3 linked regions of the Arabidopsis thaliana genome follow. The protein of the gene in region 2 interacts with the protein of the main gene of each other region in a pairwise test. Each region holds a gene or a part of one and is shown on either strand. Other genes may lie near its edges.

Region 1 (4,946 bases), 2.9 Mb from region 2:
CAAAGTCTTTGCTCTTACTGTCTTTGGAACAAAACATGGTGTTTTAAGAGGAAGATAAAGTTTAGTTGAATATGCCATAGCTTTTGTGTTTCTTTCTTTCTTCAAGAAGAAACTTTGATCTCTTCTTTTTGGACAACTCGTTTGGTTTATAGTTCTCAGAGAAGAAAATTATAAATTCCGATGATTGATTGAATCTGAGTTTAATTAAGATTTTTTTTTAAGTCAATTATATATAGACGCAAGGTGAAGATAAAATAATAGCCAATAAGAGTGGCAATCTCATTAACAAGTTTGGTTGTCTTTTTCGTGGGGTTTGGTTAGTTCTTCTAATGGTTTCGTTTTTCTTCTTACGTTTGATTTTTGATGAACGTCAATGTGAAATCGTTGAATATATCTACACATATACATGTGTATGTCTAGTCAGGTGTATTTTTATTACATAAATTTTTATAAAACTATTATTGGGATTTCTTACTCCGTTAATGTTTAAAAAATATTACTAAGAAAACTACTTAGATTCTGTAACACTTATATTTGAGAAACAAAATGAGTTTTATAACCCGATTCTTTGACAAAATAATATGAGACAAAAACAAATAATTCCCCAACTGAAATAGTTTATAGACTTAAGACATTTTACCTTCCTTCTGACCTAAAAAGGTAAAAAAGACATTTGACCTTCCATCGAAACAATTAATCTGTCATTACATTAATTTCAAAAACTTGCGTGCTATTAGTTGCACTTGCATTCAACCAATTTTTTCGTTATGTTGAGATAATATTAATATTAGAGTAAAAGAAAAACTAAACATCGAGCAAATTAGTTGTTACAGTGCTTATCTGCCGTCCAATGACGAATTAACTCCTACTTAATTAAACCGTGGCACGTGTCGATATATCAAGCGTCATGATAAGCTTTTAGGAGCATTTTTAATTGCAAAATGACAATAATTGGTGTTATATTATTGCTATGATTTAGACAAGAGACTAATTGTAGGCTAAACATGGAGACATCGTCGTACAGTTTCTCGGGAAAAAAGCTGTCTCTTCTTAACCACAATAAGGTACGTTCGAGTCAGAGGCTCCGAGCAATGATATTTATTTCGCTGGTTTGATTACTAAAGAAATGCAAAACAATACTATAATAACAACGAATATTCCTCCACCAAATTAATTAAACTCTTGCGAATCTTTATTTTGTTTTGTTAAAAGAATAATACAACAGATTTATACAAGTTTCTGAGTCATCAGCAACTTTGGAATCCTTATAATAGTTTATGAACATTTTTAACCAAAAATACATATAAATGGTGGAACCATAGATTAGAAGGGTTGGTCACAAAATGTTGGAGCAAAACTTCCAAAATCGCTTTTAACAATTTTTAAAAAGACTTCCAAAATCCATTTTTTTCTGTCGGTTAAACCAAATTTAAATTATAATTTCGATAGAGAATGTTTAGATCGATCACCCGAGTCGATAGTATATAAATTGTAGTACATTGAATGAAAAACTATAATCAAATATTTTGTGGTCTCTGTTTCAGGAGGTTGGGAGGTTAAATACGTCACCAAAGTTTTTATTAATTTTCTAGATCGTCGTCCACTTATATCATCGCGGAGTGGTGGCCTAACTTATCAATATCGTACGATCTCCAAATTTAATATAAGCAAGTTTGATTATAAAATTTGATACAGAAATTATTTAACATTATCTTCATCATCACTTATTTTATAATTAACAAATACTAGAAACATACGTCTACGAGTTAAAGTAATGGGTTTAGGCTAAAAGATTTGGTCAAGAAGTATACAGTAGCCTAATTGAAGGTCCGTTTAATGGCGTATGCTTCTCATATTAGACTTAAGTTAAGGCCCGTTTGATAAGATATTTAGGCCCATTAACAGCCCAAGTGTTAATCAAAGTCTAACTTGTTACTCAAGAGTGCTTGTCTACGGGAGCTAAAAAGGAACTGGGAAGAGTTTGTTTCTTCGATTCGTAGATCAATTCTCAGCTGGTAAAGTTTTTTTGCATCCATACAAGTTCTTAGTTACTTGAATCGTTTCCTATTTTTTTCATTCGATCTGTAATGTTTTTAGGGTTTAATAACTTTTGTGCAGACATTGAGGTTTATCTCAGATCGAAATCGAGAAGAAGATGTTTCTCACTAGGTACAAAATTGAGCATTTCTTCCTTCGATTTCTTCAGAATCGTGTATCACCGTTTCTGGGAAAACTTCGAATCCAACGATTATGGTGCTTGTATTGATCAAGTTTTTTTTTTTTTTTTTTTTTGTTCTTAAGGACTGAGTATGACAGAGGAGTCAATACATTTTCTCCTGAAGGTCGTCTCTTTCAGGTTGAGTATGCCATTGAAGCTATCAAGGTAATTTATAGATTACTCTAGCTGCTAATAGCTTCTCTAGAATCTAGTAAAGTTGGGATGTTTCTTTGTTTGCTTAAACGAATTTGGTTACTTAATCCATTATTGTGTTAGTGTGCTTTGTTGGGGAGTAGACAATAGATTGGGCATGCCCTTTTTGTATCCATTGATGGGTTTGTTATGGTTTGATTGCAGCTTGGTTCTACTGCTATTGGTGTAAAGACGAAAGAGGGAGTTGTTCTTGCAGTCGAGAAGCGTATTACTTCGCCTTTACTGGTATAGTTTCTCTCCTTGTATCTTCTCCGTGTGACTCCACTGTTTTATTAACATTTGTTATGTTTAGCAGTTTCCATCTGGTTGATTTGTTAGTATCTAAGAAGTTTTCTTTGCTTTACTATTTCCGTGCCTTTATGATTTTGGTACACGCACATTATGCTACAAATTTAGTCTTGAATTGGCATGAGTGATAGAATCTGAAAGGTAATATTAGTATGAATTTGTAATACCTTTTTGAGTTTACCCTATGATGGTAACTACTTTCTCAGTCTCTTTTTTATCTTTTAAGTAGGAGCCGAGTAGTGTTGAGAAGATTATGGAAATTGATGACCATATAGGTTGTGCTATGAGTGGTCTGATTGCTGACGCGCGAACACTTGTTGAGCATGCACGAGTAGAGACCCAGGTGAGATCTCAGTTTCTGACTTTCTGTTTCTCATGGATTTGTTTTTACATCAAAAGTTCTTTCTGTTACCAACTGGTTTTATTATGTTGAGCAGAACCACAGGTTCTCGTATGGTGAGCCAATGACTGTAGAATCTACAACACAAGCTTTGTGTGATCTTGCTTTACGGTTTGGTGAAGGAGAGGAAGAGTCAATGGTAGTAATCGCTCTATTACCTTTATAGCATAGGAAGAGTCAATGGTAGTAATCGCTCTATTACCTTTATAGCATAGGCAATGTTTAGTGGATTTCTCTTCTTTCTGCTTGGAAATTATGATCAATTATCAGAGATAAACCCTTAGATTGGGGTTTTAAATTTTTGTTGTGAATTAATAGATATAACTCTTTAGGAACCACCACTATAACAATCCCTAATCTTCCATAATGTTTTAGCAAATATTCTTTGGTTCTTTACTGTCTCCTTTTTATATGAATGTACTTATGCTCGGTCTCACAAACTTTTTGCAGTCTCGTCCATTTGGAGTATCCCTTCTCATTGCTGGGCATGATGAAAATGGACCGAGCCTGTAAGTTGTTATTCATTTCGCTTATATCATTTTCCAACTGTGTAGATGATCTCAAATTGGTAAACAACAAATGTTAAACAACTCAATCCTGTATAGGTACTACACAGATCCATCGGGAACATTCTGGCAATGCAATGCAAAGGCAATTGGGTCTGGCTCAGAAGGAGCTGATAGTTCTCTCCAAGAGCAATTCAACAAGGTACTAATAACGTGATTGTTTCACTGTCCCAAGCGCATTACAGAATCTATTTCTTTTGAAGTTTCCTTGAACTCCAATTTCACAACTCTTACAGGATATAACTCTTCAAGAAGCTGAAACAATAGCTGTATCTATCCTAAAGCAAGTAATGGAAGAAAAGGTATTCAATTGATTACAAGTTTGTTTATTAAAAATCCCATTAAATCCCTCTCCGGTTTAGCCCTTTTTGATACTCTCTACTTTTCTGGTTTAGGTGACTCCAAACAATGTCGACATTGCCAAAGTCGCACCAGCTTATCACCTCTACACTCCTCAGGAGGTTGAAGCCGTCATCAGTCGTCTATGAAGAAATAAACCGCCATTCTCTTCCTGTTATCTTACCTTGTCTGTTCGGTAATTTATCAGGCTTCTGTCTGCTTCCGGTTCTCTAAACCAAAAATTAGTTTCGTTTAATCAGATAATGGATTTTATCGAGTTGAGTTTTATTGAGCTTTCTATCTACATTTTTTTGTCGTTTTCAACAAGAAGTTAAAACTAATAAATATCTGTCCAAAAGAAAAAATCAGAACTTGAAAGTTGAAATCTATTATGTACATATCATCATTGTACGTCGGAAAAAAAATCTCAATTATAAGATAATTATATATTTATTATCTATATAACCACCCTCACTGAATTTAACCCAAACCCCATTAAGAGAAGCGCTGATCGTGAAAACCTATCTTTAGCTAAATCTTTAAAAAAATAAAATATATTTCTTTGAGGTTACAAAAGAATATATTGTATTTTTTAAACATATCTTTAGCTAAATCTATAGAAAAAATAATAATAATTGAAAACTTAAGAAAACAAATAATAAGTGATTAAGTTTACAGAGGGGGCATTCCCATAACCGCCTTTGGAATCCAATTATCATCCCCTCGGAGAAAATACTTAACCGTAAACCTTGCAGCCTCATCATCAGACGAAATGGGCTTATACCCAGCCCATTTAACTCTCTTGGATAGATCCGACCCAGGACCTGAATTCTTGTACTCTCTATAGAATATAGTACGTGGAGGCGGGTCATAAGTCGAATTCCACGCAATCCACCCAGCGGGATTCACGAACGACCCAATC
Region 2 (5,737 bases):
AACGTTTTCTAATGTATTTATTTATTCCCTGATTTGAAAGTTTAGAGGACACATTATGTTAAAAAAAAAGGTTTGAGATCTGACTTTTGGAATGAAAAAGTTTTGATTTAATATTAGTCAGTTTAAGGTAACTTTTTGTGTGTTTTAAATAATTATTCCGTTACAAATAATGGACAAACGAAAAAAAATCATAGATATATGTAGCCGTATCTGTATGTTGTTGACAGAAGAAAAAAACAAAAAATGAAATATATTGGTTTATGGTAAAAGAATATTCGATTACTCTATTTCTAATAAAGAAAATCTAGCTAGGTGAAATAAGAAACATACTTAGTGTTCTAAGCTGGAATATAGATTTTATGTATTGGGGAATCCATGTGACAAAATCATTCGAATTTCTTTGGTGTTATGGAAGACTTGTTCTAAGCTTCGTGAGAGTATCCATCACAAAAAGTTATATTTTTATGTTTTGATTTTTTTGTCGGCAAACTCGATTTCAAAAAATTTATTTATGAGAATTTTAATGCATTTCATTATTATCTTTGACGTGAGATGCTGATATCGGAGACGTTGAATAATTGACATATAGAGCGTTATAGAAAATCATATAAAAGTCAACTTGTGAGTTGTGACATGTAAAGTTCGTATAGACAGACAAAATATACGTGAGCATACCAAAAAACAATCATTTCTATATAACAACAGCAAACCGGAAAACGAGTCTACCGGCCGGACATAAGACTGACTAAATCTTCGTTTTGGAAGTTTCCAACATCCCAATTTCCGGTAGACGAAAAGAGAGTGGATAAAGCAACCACAATGTATCTCATACTCGGACGTAGCTGCGCATTCTCTTGTGTACATGCTTTCCCTAATTCCGCCATCTATACCACAACACATAAAACACCAAATTGGCTTACCCCGTTATTAAAATTAGCTATGTGCAATCCGGTATTCGGTTTGATTTTTCGACACTTTAAGCTAATCGAATAGCACATTGTTCAGTGAATACCGGTTTTTAAAAATCGCACTTTTAATCGGTTTTTCGGACCAAAAAACGGATTGGACACCCTCTTTTAGAATGATCAATGATGAATAGAATAGGGAACAAGAAGAGATATTACCTTGTATACCGAATCAAACGGGTAACTATCACCGAGCCTCGGGTCTATAATCTTGCGTAGTGCTTCTTCTTTGTCGGTTTCCTTGAATGATTCTTCGAACTGAATAATAAATAAACAAAGCATATTGTTAAGTGATCCACATACATGCCTTTAAATCAGAAAGACTAAATGTTACGAAGAAACAATAATACTAACCACACCAACAAGGCCTCTAAATTCACCAACGGCTTCTGTCATTTTGACAACCGCACCTTTCGCAGAAATCAATTCGTAAAGGACAACTCCAAATGCATATACATCTACTTTTGCAGACACTTCTCCATAAACAGTCCTGCATACATACATATATACACCATCACTATAGTGTAGTCTCTAAAGTAGTATATAAGTGTAAACGAGATCAAATTCTTTACTCTGGTGCCATGTAACCAAATGTACCCATTGCACCCCGAGTTGCTGAACCTCCAACTTCTGTCAGTTTTGTTAACCCGAAATCTGCTACCTGTAACACGTAAACGACTCAGAGCGGTGACAAAGGAAAAATCTAACCTTTTCAGTATTTTTCACTTTTGATTGACAAAAGAGAAATCGAGAATGTACCTTTGCTCGGAATTTCTGGTCTATCAAAATATTGGCAGATTTAATGTCCCTATGGACATAAACTGGAACCGTGTGCTCGTGGATATATTCTAAACCTCTAGCTGAGTCTAGTGCAATCTGCACTCTCTTAGTCCACGGTAATGGTTCTCGTCCTAGTTTCACATAAACTCTTTTAGTTTACAACTTTCTCGAAAAATGATTCACTTTTGGAGGTCTTTATATTGCGTACCTGACCCATGTAAATGTTGTCCAAGGTTACCATTCTCAACATATTCATACACCAAGAAAAGTGATCCCTCAACACAATATCCAATCAGGCGAACCTGCAAGAAAAAACAAATTCGTTAAAATTTGGCTAAGACTTGATCTTCATCTGATCTCAGATATTATCTTGAGAGAACACAAAAGGGGTTTACCAGGTTGACATGATGTACACGCGTTAAGACTTTTAGTTCCGCCAAGAACTGTTTCGATGCCTCCATGTCCATCTTCTTAATCGCAGCTTTCTATACAAGAACCGAATAATTTAAATGTTCCATGTGTAGTAGCTTCAAACAAAAAGATATAAAAAGATATCTGCTTACTTCTCCTCTCAGCTCTGCATAGTAAACAGCCCCAAAACCACCTTGCCCAATCTTAAAAGACAAATTGAAATTATCAGTAGCCTTTGCTAGTTCCTCCAACGAAAACTCAACAGATTTGTCCACGCTTATGGCAGCAATGCCAGGAGACACTCCGGCACCACCCAAACCTCCACTTTGGAGACTAGTAGAAGAAGCTAAAAGCAGATTTCATATAAACATAATAAGCAACTCCCAGCTAACAAAAGAGACAAAAACTGCTTGTATATGATCATCACGAAATTACCATGATCAGCCTTAGTAGACAACGGAATAGAAGAAGAAAACGAATCACCCTTCGACTTATTCTTCCGGTAAGCATAATATACGATAAACAAGATCAACAACAAAGCCACAATCACTCCTATAACTATACCAGCAATAACTCCAGCACCAACACCATCTGCTAATACAAAAAAATATCAAAAACATACTCTTCCATGTCTCCTCTTGCTTCGTGCATAATCATCAAAAGCTCAAAAATGGAGAAAAGAACCAACCTTGTTTACTACAAAAAACATAAGAGAAGTAGAAATACATCAGTAAATAGATATCAAAATGAACAAAGATACAATCTTAACAACAACAAAAACAACCTTGATTTGAATGGTGGAAATGCACCATTTGGATCTGCAAAAAACACAGGAACATGTACATAAACTTCAACAATCATTACTACATTTATAACAATTTGTGTCACAAATCATCAAAGATCAATCTTTGTACCTCTTCCAGGCACATAAACGATTCCATTCCCGGAGTTAAAATTAACACCGGGATTATATCTCTGCAGAATATCCGCCGATACACCGGAAGATCTCGCAATAGAACTGAGACTGTCTTCAGGACGAAGCGGATACGTAACAAACAAACCAAAATCTTTCGAAACACTCTCATCACCACAAGAACAATTCACCAATACATTAAGCGTCGCAGAGAGAGGTATGTTAGTCGCCGGAAAAGGATTCCTCGCCTGTAACGACTCCATCGTCGTGAGATTCGCGTAATTACTAATCGCGACTCTTTCGTAAGTATCTTCCTGTCGAACACTGTAGCTGAAATTGTGCCCTAGGAAATCACCAGGTTGACATTCGCAAGGGAAAGGTACAAGAACCCTAGAGCCCATCTGGATTCTATCTTTGTCTTTAATGTTACTGTTGTACCTGAGGATTGGATCGAAATTGATTTGATCGTAAGGCGCGATTGAAGAATTGAGGTTTTGGTTGATGACGGAGAGTGTTGTTCCGTTCTCGAGATAGTACGAAGCTAGAGCTAAAGGACAGCTAGTCCTGCACTTAGATTCCACGGCGAAGAAGAATGAGAAGAGAAGAAGAATCGGAGCGATTAGAGAAATCTTTAGCTTCATTTTGAAGCTTCCTTAGATTCCCCAGAGGAAGGGTCTCTGTTTTTTTTGTTTCGTCGTTGCTCTGTGGGGAAGAAGATGGATTCAAAGACGAAAAAGGTTGACTTAATCAAACGTTGACTATTTTTTTCAACTAAAGAGAATGATGATTACTGATTAGTGTTTGTTAATTGTTGAGAAGTTTCTTAATTAATTAATAATACTAAGATCATTTAATGCAACTAGCAGCTGGAATTTGAAAGTCTTTGGTCAAAGACAAAAACTATGAAGACCGCCATTTCTGTTGAAGGAAGTAGATTTTACGTTCGAATTTTGTATGTTTTTTGTTAAAAATTTATTTTTTTGGATCAAAATATAAAGTTACTTTATAATCGAAAACAATAGAGACTATTTTTTTTTCTTATATAAAATATTTTTCAAAATTCTCACTAATAAGAAATGGGGGTAGATCTTTCACGTTGGTCTTTTAGAGTTGAATTGTTACCCTTCTTCATACATTAATCTGCTTTAACTCTGTGGCGTCGAAAGATACGGGAGAAAAGGGAAACAAACCATTGCCATAACACTATCAACCAAAAAAGGCTCTTTGACTTAGCACCACCTTCATCTTTCCCTTTGAATATTCCTTTGTACATTTCTTTCTGCTTTTGGTACAAGGCTTTCTCTTGCTCTGCAAGTGCTCGTAGCTCTCTTCTAATCGCCTTGTCGTCAGGAGCATACTTTTGTGCCTTTCGGAAATCATCACGTGCTGAGTCCATCTGTCCTAGCTCTGCCTTTGCTTTCCCTCTTCTGAACAGTGCTTTTGGGTTTTTCTCTTCTTCTGTCAACACCTGATAAGGTTTTGAGTTTGATTAGATTTCGAGAAACCGAGTATGAACTTTAATGATTTTCTTCAAATGAATGGTTTGATGAGTCTTACAATGTTGCAGTGACCAATTGCTTCATCGTATCGTTTTAGTTTGATGAGGCAAGCTGCTATGTTAAGATGGCATGGGTTTTTAACTGCTAAAGCCATATCCTGGTACTTCCCATACAGCTGAAACATAAAATCGTCCCCCATGTATGCTATGGCCTGAAACAGCAAAACCATGACTAATCAAAAGCCGAAAGAAGACACAAGAGCCTCGAGCAGACTCACTAAGTATGCCTGAAAACCTAAACTTTGACCGTAATTGTTGGAAAGAGAGATAGAGATAGAGAGAGATGCATAACCATTTCATACTGTTGCATGGCTTCCTCCAGTTTCTCCTCCTTAAAAAGAGAATTCCCATCCATTTTTCTTCTGTCTGCTGCACCAATCCTTTCCTCTACAGTCATATCACTGCGAGCTTTTCCCTGTTCAATACATCATCTAAGTCAGAGAGGTAAGCAAGGAGGTTGGGATAAAGCTTGGATGTGGAGTCGTCTTGGTAAGGAAACAAGATGATGGTATAGGAAATAACTTACCTCCTTTGTTTCATCAAACCCAATAACTTCCACCTCATATAACAAGTCTGCCATAGGTGGAACATTCGGAAAAGAAAAGTTTCCTTCTTTCCCATAAGCTAATTCCCAGCCAACATGCACAAGCGCACGTTCACCAGACTTCATGCTAGCAACACCGATGGCTAAACCGGCTAGTTCTTTTTTCTCTGTCTCACAGACAACATTTCACTCTTAGTGCACAATCTTTTTTATAAAAAAAATTGTATAGTGACGTTAAAATGGGCTAATCAGCATTGAAGCAAAAAAAATACAAAACTCAATCTTTTTTCCTCCCAAATATCCATCTCATTGGGTTCATATAATACACAAGCTAACTCATCAAATTTACCAATGACGATTCATCTAACGAAATGGAGGTGTAGAGTACATATTCGACAGCCACATACCTTTTCCAAGAACCAATTCAATAGGTTGCTGCTCATGCCATGTATCCTCAAATTTGTGCTGCGAGTTTTTGGTCCATGCCCTGTAGTGCACTATGGCCAATATGAAATTGGTCAGATAGAAAGATTCAAATAAACAGTAGCAATAGGCCAACAAGTGCA
Region 3 (4,018 bases), on a different chromosome or scaffold from region 2:
CTTTAAGAAATAAAAATTAAGTTTAATATCTCGGGTTTCAAATTTATTTTTGGTATGATGTCATCTAATAAAATTAAACATTTACAGAAAAACAAGATGTTACGGAAAAATAACATGTTATGGAGAAAACATTATGTATTCATAAAATTAAACAAAAACCACAGTCAGAAAAAGATATTCACTGTTAATTTGGCAATAATTTACATCTATTTTCTTGATTACATCTTTATTTCTTATTATAAAATTATTTCATTTTAATTATCTGACTCACATTATTTTATATACCATGTTTACGTTTTCTATCGGATTATATACTTCTCGTGTGCTGATAACCAAGTAGTAAACAATTAAACGTGACTCACAAAATGGTGACACATACCAACCTTTAATTTACGAGATTGTGTCACAACACATACCAACCTTCGATTTACTAAATTGCGACATGGTTAATATTTTACTTTTCATAATATAAATTATAGAAATATTTTTATTCCAAATTTCCCAATTAAATTTTATTTTTAATTTTATAAATTTATTTAGCTAAGTTAGTTTCCAGTTCAAATTTATACTTTTCATTGTATTAGATTTACATGGTGAATATCATTTCATGGCCACTTAATTAATGACCCCTTTAAAGAAAAACAACATTTAGTACGAAGTCTTTGTACTTATTAAGTTACGATAGGATAGACATTTTATTTATGCAGCGGTGCCAAAACGGCTACAAAGATAAACGAAACGACATAGATATGAAGTGTATACAAGGGGACAATGCGATGAAGATAGATTCTTAAGAAGGTACGTAGTAGAGTGGATTTGGGAGCTTAAAAACCCTCCCAGGGGTATCCTCAACCAAATCAGCCCATTGATCTCCGATATTGCCAACGATGTTGTATCCTTTCTTCACGAGACTCTTCCTCACCTTTGACTTGTACACCACTTGCCTCAAGTTCGAACCATTAGGCCTACATTTCCATATTTAGTCCTTGATTCAATCACATATATGATACTTATAATTTATTTAATTACTATATAACTAACTACTTGAATATTCTTACTTCAATATGAGATGCTTCCAGTAGGTCACGCCAGCAGCTTCGAGATTGTCGAGAGTGACATTCTTCCACAACTTCCAACGGTCACTGAGTATGATGGGTTCAATCCCGAGCTCTATGATGTTTTGGTAAAGATGCAAGGCCTCCGGGAGTCCAGGGGTTGATGCTCCGGTCCCTAACCACAACCAGTACGCCCCCGGGTCGGTCTTCTCTGTTCTAAGAATCCAAAAAAAAAAAAAGTAGTTCAAAATGAAATCACAAAGTAAGATATATATGAAAAAAAACATTTAGGTCAGTACTGAAACTATTTAGAGTTGCAAATAATATATATAAAATAAAACCGAAACGTGCATATAGTGATATCTAAACCATTAAAAAAAAAATATGAAGATAATATTGTTAATGCAATGGAGGTGGTGTGGGTAGAACTAATAATGATAATTATGCGTATATATACCCGTATCCATATTTTGCGTAGTAGGGAATACTAGAGAGGAGGGTATCATCTAGGTCAAAGATCCAAACATTGACGGTGTCGTTCTTTAGGGCAAGTCCTTTGGCATAGAAATAAGCCTCTTTGCACACGGTTTTGGAGTCGTATTGGTACTGTTTGGAAGTGATCAAGTAGTCTTCAACATAGTCTTTGCAATTTGCGGGCACCGTGTCGAAGTCTATGATGTTAGAGGTCTCAACACCAAGGTGCCAGCTTCTGCAGTTGGCGTAGTTGATGGAAAGTTTCTCTTTCTCTAAGAGTTCGGCTACGTTCCCAAAGATGGTTTTCGAATCGACGAGTTCGATGAGCCCTGGAACGGATGCCGAGACCGTAGCGGCCAAGAGCAAGAGAAGTGAAAGTGAGAGGATTTTCATGTTTTTTATGGTATGGTTTATTGTTTAGTTTGTGATGTTTATATGTGTGACGCAAAGGGTGGTATTTATAATGAGGTGGGGTTATGAGAAATGATTAAGAAGCCAGATGAGAAATGAGGAGATATGTGTGCTTGTCTGTTTTCGATTGGTGCAACAAATGCTACTGGTCCCATAATGTTTATAATCGACGATATTTTTCACTTACACCACTCGTTTTTAGTGCACGTTGAGATTGTGTGCTTAACTAGAATTTGGCGTTTTGTTGTTCTATTATCTTTGGCTTATCTGCTTGTAAATTTTGAATTAGAGTTTCGTTTTGGAGAATACTGTAAAGTTGTTCTACATTACTAGAAAAATGTATTGAATATGTTGATGTGAGTATAATTTGTGTTTGCGGAAATAATATATAGAGTAAATGTTTCATTTTTTTTTTTTTGATAAATAATTGATAGAGTAATTGGGAAAACCAATAAAATGCAAAACGAGTAATTGACAACAGGTTCCACAGTGAGCGAGAAGAGATGGGTGTACTGTGAATAATATAAGAGATGAGACATGACGATAAGAAATGTGAGGTACACAAGAATAGACGTTAAATAATTGTTACGTAAAGTCGTAACATTAAATAATTCAATAAATTAGCAAACATATATAGCTGTATCACTATTCACTAGTTGTTGACAAATATTTGAATAACGATTTTCATGCCCGAGATTGGGAACAGTTTCTAATTGCCACCAAGATTTTCCACAAAAAGTTGTATCTTGGTGATAGCTATAGTTTCAACGATAATTGTCCAGTCTTCCAACAATATTGTTATATATTTTTTTCTAATGCATATAACCTCATGACGAAATATTTAAGTAGTTTAATAGAATTTTTATATATCAAAAAGTATATATAGTGTTGCAAACCAAGTTGTGGTACACTACAAGAGAACAAAACCCTTTTCGACAGACTTTTCGACGATAAATAAACGGTCGAAAATTTTCGACGGTTTCGTAATGGTATTCCGACGGTTTTCTGACGACATGTTTTCCGTCAAAATGTCGTCGAACTTTTCTGACGAATTCTAAATGATCGACAATTCATCAGTCATTTCCAACGAAACTCCGACCAAATTAAATCCGACCAAATTAAATCCGACCAAATGTTTCGACGGATTTCCGACCAAAATATATCCGTTTTGATCCCTAGAATATTCATCAGAATATTCTGCACTTTTCCGACGGAATTCCAACGAAATACACTCGGTCAAGTAGCTACTCGGTCAATTCGCCGCACGGTCACATAGCCGTGCATTTTTTTATTTTAAAAAATAAATATTCAAAATTTCCGTCGGAAATTCGTCGCCAAAACCCGTCGGACGTCCGTCGAAAACCCGTCGAAAACATTGATAATTCTCATCTTTATATTTTTCTACCATCATTCACAAAATCGTCCAAGCAGCAACAAAATATAACCAGAGAGAAATGGCTTCTTCAAATCCGTTTAATTATTTTCGATCATGGATGGACCAGCCCATGCGTGATCCGCTAACGGAGTTACTAATGCCGGAATATGCAGAAGGTCTTAAACAATTCATGGCATTCGCGACAAATCAACCGGTAACCATCGAATCAAAAAAAATGTGTTGTACATGTCGGAATTTTGGAGTTCTTCATGTATCTCAAGTTTGGATGCACTTATATGGGGAAGGGTTTATGTCGGGGTACAAAGTTTGGTTCATGCATGGAGAGAATGAGTCAATGGTGAATTATGGTAGTTGTAGCGAATATTATCCTGTTGATAGGTTAGTGGAACCAAATCCGGAAGTAGATGCAAATGTAGGTACCGTTCAGATGGTAAATGATGCTTTTCGTGAAAATGTACACTCGTTTGATGGGGATAGTGATAGAGTAGAGGAACCTAATTTAGAAGCACGGAAGTTTTTTGATATGTTAGATGCAGCAAAATATCCCTTATATAAAGGATGTAAAAAGGGTCATTCGCCTTTATCTGCTGCAACTAAGTTGATGGGTATCAAAACGGATTATAATTTGTCCGAGGATTGTGTGGATGCGATTACTGATTTTGTGAAAGATTTATCACCCGAA

What was found. Proteins that work in one complex are often made in the same cells at the same time.
Region 1: the proteins of CERK1 (region 2) and PAE2 interact in a two-hybrid assay, tested with the Arabidopsis thaliana proteins (one study listed by BioGRID).
Region 3: the proteins of CERK1 (region 2) and VSP2 interact in a two-hybrid assay, tested with the Arabidopsis thaliana proteins (one study listed by BioGRID).

The regions. Positions count from the first base shown.
Region 1 is NC_003074.8:4,762,209-4,767,154, forward strand, and holds PAE2 (20S proteasome alpha subunit E2), read left to right. Parts: upstream 1-1,815; 5' UTR 1,816-2,015; intron 2,016-2,118; 5' UTR 2,119-2,155; coding exon 2,156-2,169; intron 2,170-2,301; coding exon 2,302-2,383; intron 2,384-2,575; coding exon 2,576-2,656; intron 2,657-2,948; coding exon 2,949-3,062; intron 3,063-3,156; coding exon 3,157-3,258; intron 3,259-3,569; coding exon 3,570-3,628; intron 3,629-3,724; coding exon 3,725-3,827; intron 3,828-3,921; coding exon 3,922-3,987; intron 3,988-4,080; coding exon 4,081-4,173; 3' UTR 4,174-4,401; downstream 4,402-4,946. Other genes in the region: AT3G14280 (LL-diaminopimelate aminotransferase), read right to left, coding at 1-78; ATPMEPCRC (pectinesterase family protein), read right to left, coding at 4,697-4,946. UniProt on the Arabidopsis thaliana protein: The proteasome is a multicatalytic proteinase complex which is characterized by its ability to cleave peptides with Arg, Phe, Tyr, Leu, and Glu adjacent to the leaving group at neutral or slightly basic pH.
Region 2 is NC_003074.8:7,614,821-7,620,557, forward strand, and holds CERK1 (chitin elicitor receptor kinase 1), read right to left. Parts: upstream 3,852-5,737; 5' UTR 3,711-3,851; coding exon 3,071-3,710; intron 2,975-3,070; coding exon 2,941-2,974; intron 2,853-2,940; coding exon 2,845-2,852; intron 2,748-2,844; coding exon 2,592-2,747; intron 2,503-2,591; coding exon 2,309-2,502; intron 2,231-2,308; coding exon 2,141-2,230; intron 2,048-2,140; coding exon 1,954-2,047; intron 1,877-1,953; coding exon 1,725-1,876; intron 1,627-1,724; coding exon 1,538-1,626; intron 1,456-1,537; coding exon 1,320-1,455; intron 1,224-1,319; coding exon 1,125-1,223; intron 885-1,124; coding exon 723-884; 3' UTR 537-722; downstream 1-536. Other genes in the region: TWD1 (FKBP-type peptidyl-prolyl cis-trans isomerase family protein), read right to left, coding at 4,205-4,537, 4,627-4,779, 4,920-5,042, 5,154-5,338, 5,579-5,668.
Region 3 is NC_003076.8:8,499,923-8,503,940, forward strand, and holds VSP2 (vegetative storage protein 2), read right to left. Parts: upstream 2,303-4,018; 5' UTR 1,923-2,302; coding exon 1,513-1,922; intron 1,272-1,512; coding exon 1,059-1,271; coding exon of another isoform or gene 1,055-1,058; exon of another isoform or gene 966-1,054; coding exon 791-965; 3' UTR 546-790; downstream 1-545. UniProt on the Arabidopsis thaliana protein: May function as somatic storage protein during early seedling development.